Linked DNA regions of Macaca fascicularis. The protein of the gene in region 2 purifies or fractionates together with the protein of the main gene of each other region. This does not show direct contact. Links are inferred from orthologs where the notes say so. Each region holds a gene or a part of one and is shown on either strand. Other genes may lie near its edges.

Region 1 (4,688 bases), on a different chromosome or scaffold from region 2:
AATAACTGCTTGGCCAAAGGGAAAAAAGAAAGAAATGCAGCCACAGAATCTTAGGAAATTATAGTGTTGAAGGAATGACAGCTGTTTTGGGTAACTCTACAACTCATGGATTTTTTTCTTTTAGGGATTCAGTGGTTGAGTTTTTTTGCCCCACCCAAAGGTTTTTCTTCTGTCCTTTTTGCTTATTTTTCTTCCTTTTATTTTTCGGATCCATTGGTAGACAGCTTATTTTTCTTAATGTTCAGATTGTTAGTTGACTTCACAGCTTTTCCCTCATCCACTAGATAAATGCAATCTAAAAATGTCATTAAACTCCAATCTTTAGGGCAGAGAACTATTTTTCCCATTGAAATAATTTGATTGTTCTTTTTTCATTCTGTCTCTTCTCTGGAGGAAAATTAGTGTTTTTACGTGCTGGCTTAGAACTTGCTCCAAATGCCAAATTTTAAAAAGAAAAACTTTCCAGGGAAGGTTAGCAGAAGTTGTGCACCAAAAGGATGTGTGTCCTGGCTCGGGAGTCAGTGGCCTTGTGCTGTTTAACACAATCCTCAACTCTGCTGCCAGCTTGCTAGATGACCTTGGCCACTTAATTTCTCTGGACCTCACTCCTAGTGCCTGTGAAAGGGATAGGTTAAGCAGGTGATTTCTAAGGCCCTTTCCAATTCTAATATTCTATGGCTCTGTCCTCTGAAAGAATCACAGTGCCAGTCTTAGATTTCTCTCACCCTTCTCCAGTTGTATTCCGTGCAGAAAATGGTTGTAGAGATTCCAGTGTTTACACAGACAGTAGGTAGGGGACAAGTCCTGTGCCACTTCTTCAGATTATCAGATTTTTATTTGGTTTGTACTGGTCCCAGATTATGATCAAATACAGAGAAGCTTTGGGATTTGGGGGAGAGTGAGGTGGAGTGGATTGCTGAGTAGCACAAATCCATGTTTTCTTATAGCTTTGGATTACTGGTGGTTCTAATGCCCATTTTGGTTTCGTTTTAGGCTTTGGGCGTTGCCTTGTATATAAAAATGCTAAATGTACATTGAAACGATATACCAATCAGACTTTTGATAAAGTAATGGGGCCCATGTTGGATGCTGCTACAAGGAAACCTATCTGGCGACATGAAATCTTAGATGCAGATGGTATTTGTTCTCCAGGTAAAAGCCTTTTGAAAGAAATATTTTTAATATATACCTTTGAAATCATGTGTTATTCCATAATATTTCTGAATATTTGACAAAAAGGGCAGAAAAACGTAACAACCTATAAAACCACTATCCAGACTCAACCAATGAGGTCATTTTTGATGAATTTCCTTCCAGTTTGTTTTTCTATACACTATGTTTTTACCTATCAGTAATCTATGCTAACTGTAATTTTCTAGTTATGATTTTGAATAATAGAAAAGCCACTTTAAGGAAATATTTAGAGTAGTTCGTGTCCCTGCATCTGCACTGGTATTTCTTCATTTACGCATTTAGCTTACAGACTACTTTAGAATTTTATCCCCCTGCAAAGGTATGACTCCATTATAATTACAAACTTGTAATGCATTTTGTTGATGAAACAAATAGTCCTTGCCCTTATGGGTCTCACAGGCTGGTGCAGGAGACTGACATTGATCAGAGGATCATGCACAAACGCAGGTTAAGGAATCATATAGGTAGCTATGAGGCCATTTTATAGCAAGAGGATTTGACCTAGTTAGGAAGATCAGCATGGCCTTCCCCAAGGAAGTGAGCTGGAATCTGAAGGATAGGGAAGAGTTAACTAAAGAAGAAGGTCAGGGAGCGTGTTCTAAGTAGTAAGAAAAGCTTGTGCAAGGGTCCCGGAGCTTGGTAGTTGAAAGATCTGAAAGAAGACCAGTGCGGCTAACAAGAAGAGAGTGCAGGGAAGCATGGTGCACATGAGTTGGTGGGTGACGCGCGGGGTAGGTGCCAGAGTAAGCAAGTCCTTGCAACTGTGTTAGTATTGTCTTTATTTTATTTTATTAATTTTATTTTTGAGACAGGGTCTCAGTCTGTCACCGAGGCTGGAGTGCAGTGGCACAATCTCAGCTCACTGCAACCTCTGCCTCCTGGATTCAAGCGATTCTCCCACTTCAACCTCCTGGATAGCTGGGACCCATAGGCGCGTGCCACCATGCCTGGCTAGTTTTTTGTATTTTTTGTAGAGATGAGGTCTTACCATCTTGTCCAGGCTGGTCTCGAACTCCTGGGCTCAAGTTCTCCACCCACCTCGGCTTCCCAAAGTGCTGGGATTACAGGCATGAGCCACCATGCTGAGCCCGTGATACTATTTTCATTTTGATCCTAAAAGCAGTGATATATTCAGATATGTGTTTTGAAATGATCATTCTGACTACAGTGTAGAAAAAGGATTAGAAGGGCACTGAAATAGAAGGTAGACCTGGTACCAGGAGCTGTGGTGAAGGTGGAGAGAACCCAGTTGTTAGGAGGAAAATCCACATGACTTTGTCATGGTTGGCCTGTGGGTGGTGAATGCTTTATCAAGCTGTGATTCCAAAGAGACACAGAGTACGTGACTTCTCCTCCCTCTGTCTGCCTTTGTTTCTTGGAGGATTTTTCTCATCCTAACACTGGTCAGTATGGCTTGGAAAATATGCGCTATGACAGTACTACAGGTAGTTGGTCTTTGAGCTTACCAGGAAGAGATACAAAGCAAAAATGGGAATAACAGCAAAACCAAAGAAATATTTTGATTTTCTCATTGCCCAAGTTGAATTGGTGGTGGCTTATTACTGGTTGAAATAACTGTAAATAAAAATAAGTGATCAAAACTTAACATCCTAAGAGATATATAAAATTGCTATTTACTGAGATGATGTTTCTTATGTTAACATAGTCCTCTGAATTATTTTCTTAATTTTATATACACTGTGGGGTGTGTGTGTGTGTGTGTGTGTGTGTGTGTGTGTCTGTCTGTCTGTCTGTCTGTCTCATTCTGTTGTCCAGGCTGGAGTGCAGTGGCATGATCATAGCTCACTGCAGCCTCAACCTGGGCTCAAGCAGTCCTCCTACCTCAGCCTCCTAAGTAGTTGGGACTACAGGCATGTTCATCTGTGCCTAGTTCGTAATCTTTATTCCACACAGATGATAACAATATGCCTAACACTTTTCTTTTCTTCTCAGGTGAGAAAGTAGAAAACAAACAAGTGCTTGTAAATAAGTCCATGCCCACGGTGACTCAGATTCCTTTGGAAGGAAGTAATGTACCACAGCAACCACAGTACAAAGATGTACCCATAACGTATGTATTGGTTGTGCCTTGATAATATGTAGAAAGGTTAGAAAAAAGGGAAGGAATGGGAGAAATTAGAAGGTAGGTCTTGGTGTGTTGGAGAACTAGAAATAGCAATTTGGGGTAACATTACTTGTCATGAAAAAAGCATGGCATAGAATATAAAACTAGTCTATGGAATCATATAGACCCTAAACTGGGTTTGAGGTATGGACCACATAGGCAGGGGTTCCTGATGGAATTAACAACAGGATGAAGGGTACATGGCATAATAGTGCCTGGGTTTGAGGATCAGTGCAGCTTGCTGGGGCTAGGTTGTGAAATTGATACTGCAGAGAGGGACATGATAAGAGTCATATTTTTAAACAGTGAAACACACTGGCCACAGCATGGCATCACAGTATACTAGAACATAGCCCAGCTCTCGTACAGGTTGTCTTGTGTATCTTACATGAGTAAAGCATTTAAATTCTGTTAGCTTCAGTTTTTTCATTTGTATAATACAATGAAAGAGTTAGACTTGTTAATCTCTAAATTTCTTCTAAGCTCTAAAATTTAATAAAGTATGAACCTAGTGAGAAGGGCCAATGATAGTCACCACATTGTAATATAAAAACCAAACTAGAAGAGATATTTAACCTAGCCAAGGTGAACTAGGCCAACTGAGTTTAGGAGGTGGCAGTGAGGGTGACATAGGAGAACTGGATTCTTGAGCTGTGATGGCAGTTTTACAAATGTATTCAATACACAGTAGCTGAGGCCTGCTGTGTGCCAGCCACCCTGCCTCTTGTGCCAGTGATATAGAGCTGAAATAAGCCACAGGCGTTGCTTGCAAGGAGTCGTATTTAGTTGGCAAAGACCCCCACACAAAAAAAGTGCGGTAATGACCGTGATCATAATAGCTTATTGGGAATTTATACTGTACCAGTTACTGTTCTGGACATTTTACATGTGTTAGCTCAGTTAATCCTACCACCACCCTAGGAGCTGTGTTCTCTTAGTGGCTCATTAGAAAGATAAGATGGAAGCAAGGAGAAGTTAAGTAACTTACCAAGGTCACACAGCAGTAAGGGGCAGCACCAGGATTTGAAGTCATGCAATCTGGCTTCAGAGCGCTTCTCTTGACCATTGTGCTAAACACAGCAAGAGAGTTATCTCGGGTGCCATGGATTTGTCTCTGGAGGAGGAGCACCAAGGAGAAAATGGGCAGCTATGCTTAGGGGATGGTCCAGACTCTTACACTGACTTCTACAGGGTGAACAGCTATTTTACAGTTACAGAGGTGGCTCTGCTGGTTGGCTCTCTTCCTGTCTTGAAGGAGGATATCTCTTTTTCTGTGCAAAGTTCATCTCTCCTTTCGGTTTCTTAATTTTATTCACTCTTTTCAGAGACCTTTTTCTGTCATCTTCTCTTTTATCCTCCCATATTTTCA
Region 2 (6,316 bases):
CCGGTCATCACAGGGACGGCAGGCCCTGCCCCGCCTCTCAGGTCTGTTGCAGGGACTCCGGAAACCATTCTGGGAGCTGTGGATGGGGGCGGAGGCTGGGGTCTGGTGCGGTGTCCAGGGTGCAGTACGGCAGGGCCTCAATACTGGCCCTAGACTCCCTTTTCCAGAACACCAGGTGTGGCCACCTGGGGCTTAGGTACACAGTGGGGCCTCTCGGAAGCCACCGTGTAGCTTTTCACAGGCACGTGTATTTTGCTGAAATAAAGGTTTTAATCGGGTATTTTCTGTGGCAGCTGCCAGCCTGGATAGGGGCCAGGGAGGGGACGTAGCCCCGCAGCGTGGCCCTGGGCCTCCTCCCAGGGGAGATGTGAGGAAGGGAAACCCCCTGCCACGGGGCCCCGCGAGGTGGGAGCCCAGGTGGTCTTCACGACAGGCTGTGCCGACACTCAGGCATCGAATGACCATGTCGTGTCCACCTGCAGCCCAGGGCAGTCCAGGAGAACGTTCCAGATGACGGACGTGTTCTTGAGCTCTGAGGTTCCACACGCCAGCCCCACGTGGCCACCAAGCACTGGAAACGTGGCCCATACGCCCGTGGAACTGCGTTTTGTTTGAGACAGGGTGTAACCCCGCGGCCCAAGCTGGAGTATGGTAGCACAATCGTAGCTCACTGCAGCCTTGACTTCCTGGCCTCAAATGATCCTCCCGCCTCAGCCTCCCAAAGTGTTGGGATTACAGGTGTGAGCCACTGTGCCCAGGTAATCTTTTAAGTTTCTTGCAGAGGGGAGGGGTTTCTCTGTGTTGCCCAGGTTGGTCTTTTAACTCCCGAGCTCAAGCGATCCTCCTATTTGAGCCTCACTGCAACCTCCACCTCCTGGGTTCAAGAGATTCTCCTGCCTCAGCTCCCAAGTAGTTGGGATTACAGGCATGAGCCACCACGCCCAGGTAATTTTTGTATTTTCAGTAGAGACAGGGTTTTGCCATGTTGGCCAGGCTGGTCTCGAACACCTGACCTCCAGTGATCTGCCCACCTTGGCCTCCAAAGTGCTGGGATTACAGGCGTGAGCTACCGCACCCGGCCTCCAGAATGTTCTCATCTTCCCAAACTATGACTGTGCACATGACACACGCTGTCCCCATCCCCGTCCCCAGCCCCGGGCACCCCCATCCTGCTTCCGGGCTCTGACGACTCTAGCGACCTCCTAGGAGTGAAATCAGTGTTTGTCCTTTTGTGTCTGGCTTGCTTTGGCCGAAACGATTTTGAAAAAAGCACATTTGGAGAGAAGGGGAAGCACCGTCCCTGTCACTCACACACCATCAGACTTAACCTAAAGATCCCTGCGGGACTGCACTGCGCCATCCCCGGCCTGGGCGTCGGGAGCCCTGCAGACCACCGATCACAAGGGTGAATTACATCCTCATAAAGCTCTTGTGAAATAAACACAGGCGGCTGGGTTAAACTTGGGCAGGCGAGGCCTTCTGAAATCAGACAAAGGGGGAAGTAGAGCCAGATCCCAAATGTCTATACGAGGAACTGGCCGCAAACCACAGCTGCACACACCAGAGAACTCCACACCCTCACGGGAAGGGAGGGAGACACGCTCACGCCTGATCCAGGAGCACAAGTGGGAGGGCGGGGTGAGGGCCTGGGGAGGCGCTGACCTCCGAAGCCAGGGCCAGAGAATGCCAGCAGGAGGGACCGCCTGCCAAGCCGACCTCGTGTGCTTGGGGAGACGCAAGGCCACCTGCTAAATACCTTTTCAGTAGGCCTGGTTTTCATATCAAGTAAATTTATTTGCTCAAAACATCTTTAACGTTTGAAAACACCCAACCTCCTCCAACAACCAAAAACTCCAGAGCTGGAATCTCACACCCTGGTGGCTCGAGGGTGTGCACAGCCGTGAATGGAGTAAGGAGCCGAGGCTGGGCAGGGGCCACCACGCATCAGGGCCCCCGAGGAAAGGAAGACAAGGGGTAGAAGGCTGAGAGCCCAGGAGGAAGCAGTGGCTGGTGGGAGACCGGGACCCCAAACCCCCAACAGAGGGGGCCCAGCACCAACTGCCCCCAGGTGACCTCCCTCAGGGGCTTTGTCGCTTCTGAGGCTGCATCTTGCACAAATCCACAGGTGAATGGGGCCGGCTGGGCCTCACCCCAGGATGGGAGAACTTGGGTGAAGGCCACCTGCCTTGGGGAGTCCAGAGAAGCAACAGCCGTGAGAGCTGGGGGGCTGGACTCTGGCAGGGCAGGGGCGTCCGTCCTGCAGGGATGGGGGTCACTGTCTGTGTGTCTGCCTCTAGGGGCTGGGAAAGAAGTGGAGGGTGGTCACACGAGTGGGGCAGATCTAGTCGGCCCAGGACAGCCCAACGTCCACTACTGAGCGATAAGGAGGGGCAGGAGGCCCGGCGGGAGGAGGCCCAGGCCACAGTGCAGAGGCTGGGCGGCTCACTTGTGCCCAGCGGTCACACAGGTGTGGGCAGTTGCTCTGACCTCAAAGCAACTGCCAGCATCAGACCAGGCCGAGCCCCACCCCTGGGCTGAGTGTGAAGTGGGGCTGCCTGCCAGGACAGCACCTCGCCAGGACCAGAGTCCAGGGGAGCTGCGAGGTTCTCACATGAGCAAAGGCTGTCCCGCTCCTGACTCAGGCCAGTCCCTCCCCAGGTGCCCACGCCGGGAAGGGGTAGCCTGAAACTGCCCCCACTCTCCGAGCGCTGGGCTCTCCGGGCAGGTTTCTAAACCCTCTTCTGGAAAGGCCCGCCGCACACCCGCCCGTGTCTCGCTTCTAAGGTGGGTCAGTGGCGGGGGACATGCACGCCCCGCGTAGTCAGGTGGGGGCTGAAGATGTCCTGGGAGCGCCTGGTGGCCCAGCTGGGCTGGTGCTAGGACGGGTTTGCTGCTGGATGAAGCGAGAACAGCTTGGAGGGGACGACACCCCCGCCTCAGTGCCTGTCCCTCTGGCCGTCTCACCTGTCAGGCGGTGGCTACTGCACCAGCCGGTAGGTGATGTACCTGCCCGCCGTCTCGCTGGGCCGGATGATCTTCACCACCTGCAGAGACAGAGAGCAAGGGCTGGGAACGCCTGAGGGGCCTCACTGCAGTCACCAGACAGCAGGCGGGCAGCCCACGGGCTGGGGATGGCCGGCAGGGGCCCAAAATGCTGACCCTGGGCTGCAGGACCCGCTCCCCGGGAACCTGGGTCACGCTCTTCTCTGGGCCTAGTAACCCTGGCTTTAAGAGGGGGGGATTGGGGGTGTGGTCTCGAGGTCCCCTCTAGGCCCTGGGTTGAGGGGCGGGGCTGTCACGGAGGAAGAGAAGCCCCTTCTCTGAGTGGTCAGCTCAAAGCAGCCCCAGGGCCCCTTCTTCCTGCAAGGCTCACCTGCCCACGCTTTATCCCAAAGTAGCGCGCCACAGGGTCCCCCGCCTGGATCCTGGGCAGCTGGTTCTCTCGGAGCTTACTGGGAAGCAGGGTCAGGAAAATGCCAGACGGAGCCGTGGAGGGGGAGGGGGACGCGGAAGTCTCAAGGGACAGGGGCTGGAAAGGATACTATCGGGCCAGCAGCTCTGTCACCTCCTCCTTGGTCATGACGACGTGCTCAGGGACCAGCTGCCGAGAGAGGAAGCCACCAGGCATCACCGAGGGCTGGCCAGACCCCACGGCTCCCAGGCGCCACCACAGCCCCTGTGCCTCCAGATGGACAAGAGCCCCGAACCCCCCTCCCCCGACCCCCACACCCCGGCTGCACAGGCTTCTGAGGCAGACAGGCAGGGCACAGCCGCCTCCCGCTGGGACCCCTCCTGCCATGTCGGCAGCACTAGGCTCCCTCCACACCCCCAACAGTCCCGTTCTACAGGCTGGGGTGGGCCTGCGGATCTGCATTCCTAGGAAGCTCCCGGGTTTGGCTGCTGCAGGTCCCGGGCCACCCTTTGAGAACCCCTGTTCTCCACGCACTAACGGGAGCACCCACCCTGGGCCCCAGATCCCACATCTTCCTGGCCACCCGCAAACCCTGCATCTCTGCCGGCCCCACGCAGGCTCCACGGCGGGCGCCCACCTCGTGCTCCGTGATGTTGATGAGCAGCTCCTGCTGCAGAAACTGCTCCAGGATGTACTTGGGGGCCATGTCGACCAGGGACTGGAAGAGAGTGGCGCTCAGGCACGGCCCGGAGGGGCCCAGACAACCCCAACTCCCATTTCCTGCCTCAAGCTACATAGAGCTTACTCGTGTGCCCCAACACACCCCACGTCATAAATCAGAAAACCCCACTGCCAGCCCCACCAGCCTCTCCGCTCATCAAGGGCCTCTGTCATGAGCAGTGATGAGGCCGTGGAAACTCGGACGTGTTTCCATCCGTCACACGCCTCCAGGGGCGGCCCTCAGAGCTGCAGGGTGGCCTCTTCCCCATACGGGGTGCCGCTGTGTGTGACTGCGTGAACCCCGCAGCCGGTGGGCCAGGGACTAAACCGCTCTGCTGACTGCCCATCACAGCACGGCAGCCTGGCTCAGGAGTGTCCGATACACAGACGGGGAACACGCCCCGTGCCGGGCCTCCTCTGCATGTCCCCCTGGACATTGGCTCAGGACAAGGAACCTCCGGCTCCCGCAAGCTGCGCCAGGCCGAGGGCTGCGGCACACAGGCACTGGCGACAGAGGCACAGCGCCCTCCGCCCTTACGCCCCTCCCGAGCGCCAGGGGAGGACGGCAGCGCCTGGGGTGGGGCTGGGGTTCAGCAGTGGGGCCATGGACGGGGTGGGAGGGAGGCGGTCAGGGCTTGTCAGACATCCGGGCCACATCCTCCAGGGCACCCTGACGGGCCTGGCCCCAGGCACGTGAGCCGCCTGTGGGCGCTGCTCGGGGAAGGAGGCTGGGGAGGGCGAGAGGCTGGAAGGGCGGGGTGGGGGGTGCCCACCTGCTTGGCGGAGGGCGTCATGCCCTGCTGCACCACGATGAGGGCACGCGTGATGTTCTCTTCCTGCATGCGCTGGCAGTACACCTTGATGGTCTTGATGCCCACCTTGGGCTCCTCTGCAGACAGAAAATGTGCTGGCCTGCACCACCCTGGGCCCTCCCGGCCTTCGCCCACCCAGACCACAGAGCACCTGGGTTCCAGCCCCATTCCACACAGGCGCTTCTCCTGCTCAGACCTCAGCTTCCACGTTTGCAAAACGAGACCTGAGTTGCAGGATCCCAGGACAGGGGAAGAAAGGGCTGAAACCTCATTCACCTAGAGACAAGGACGGGGGCCTGACACCCCTCAGTCACCCAGAGACCAGTGAGAGGCAGAGACCTTCAACTCTGAGAGGCTCCCACCCCGGGCAGTCCTGGGGAGGGGGGGTGACTCAGCACCCACCTGTCCAACAAGCACATCTCACACCCCAGGATGCTCTCTTTAAGAAGCATCACCTGAGGCCGGGTGCAGTGGCTCACACCTGTAACCCTAGCACTTTGGGAGGCTGAGGCAGGTGGATTGCTTGAGGTCAGGAGTTCGAAACCAGCCTGGCCAACATCGTGAAATCCCATCTCTATTAACAGTACAAAAAATTGGCCAGGCACGGTGGCTCACACCTGCAATCCCAGCACTTTGGGAGGCTGAGGCAGGCGGATCACAATGTAAGGAGATCGAGACCATCCTGGCTAACACGGTGAAACCCCGTTTCTACTAAAAATACAAAAAATTAGCTGGGCGTGGTGGCGGGCACCTGTAGTCCCAGCTACTCTGGAGACTAAGGCAGGAGAATGGTGTGAACCCGGGAGAAGGAGCGTGCAGTGAGCCAAGATTGTGCCATTGCACTCTAACCTGGGCGACAGAGCGAGACTCCGTCTCAAAAAACCAAATAAACAAATAAATAAACACTACTAAAAAAAGTAAAAGTAGCCAGGTGAGATGGTGTATGCCTGTAAACCTAGCTTTTTGTGGGAGGCTGAGGTGGGAGGATTGCTTCAACCCAGGAGGTGGAGGTTGCAGTGAGCCGAGATTGCGCCACTGCACTCCAGCCTGGGCGACAGAGAGAGAGACTCAGCCTCAAAAAAAAAAGAACAAGAAGAAGACCGGGCGCGGTGGCTCACGCCTGTAATCCCAGCACTTTGGGAGGCCGAGGCAGGCAGATCACCTGAAGTCAGGAGTTTGAAAGCAGCCTGGCCAACATGGTGAAACCCCCTCTCTACCAAAAATACAAAAAAAAAAAAAAAAAAGCCAGGTATGGTGGTGGGTGCCTGCAGTCTCAGCTACTCAGGAAGCTGAGGCAGGAGAATTTTGAACTCAGGAGGTGGAGGCTGCAGCGAGCCGAAATGGCACCACTGCACTTCAGCCTGGGTGACAG

Evidence for each region. The genes of interacting proteins can lie anywhere in the genome.
Region 1: the proteins of POLR2E (region 2) and POLR3B purify together in Homo sapiens (affinity purification with mass spectrometry; 7 studies listed by BioGRID and IntAct, counting the BioPlex papers as one, with this or other methods). This does not show direct contact. The link is inferred for Macaca fascicularis from reciprocal best matches to the Homo sapiens genes POLR2E and POLR3B.

The regions. Positions count from the first base shown.
Region 1 is NC_088385.1:113,368,657-113,373,344, forward strand, and holds part of POLR3B (DNA-directed RNA polymerase III subunit RPC2), read left to right. Parts: intron 1-993; coding exon 994-1,152; intron 1,153-3,147; coding exon 3,148-3,265; intron 3,266-4,688. UniProt on the Homo sapiens protein: Catalytic core component of RNA polymerase III (Pol III), a DNA-dependent RNA polymerase which synthesizes small non-coding RNAs using the four ribonucleoside triphosphates as substrates.
Region 2 is NC_088393.1:1,660,252-1,666,567, forward strand, and holds the end of POLR2E (DNA-directed RNA polymerases I, II, and III subunit RPABC1), read right to left. Parts: intron 5,022-6,316; coding exon 4,906-5,021; intron 4,131-4,905; coding exon 4,050-4,130; intron 3,602-4,049; coding exon 3,543-3,601; intron 3,453-3,542; coding exon 3,374-3,452; intron 3,045-3,373; coding exon 2,979-3,044; 3' UTR 1,774-2,978; downstream 1-1,773. UniProt on the Homo sapiens protein: DNA-dependent RNA polymerase catalyzes the transcription of DNA into RNA using the four ribonucleoside triphosphates as substrates.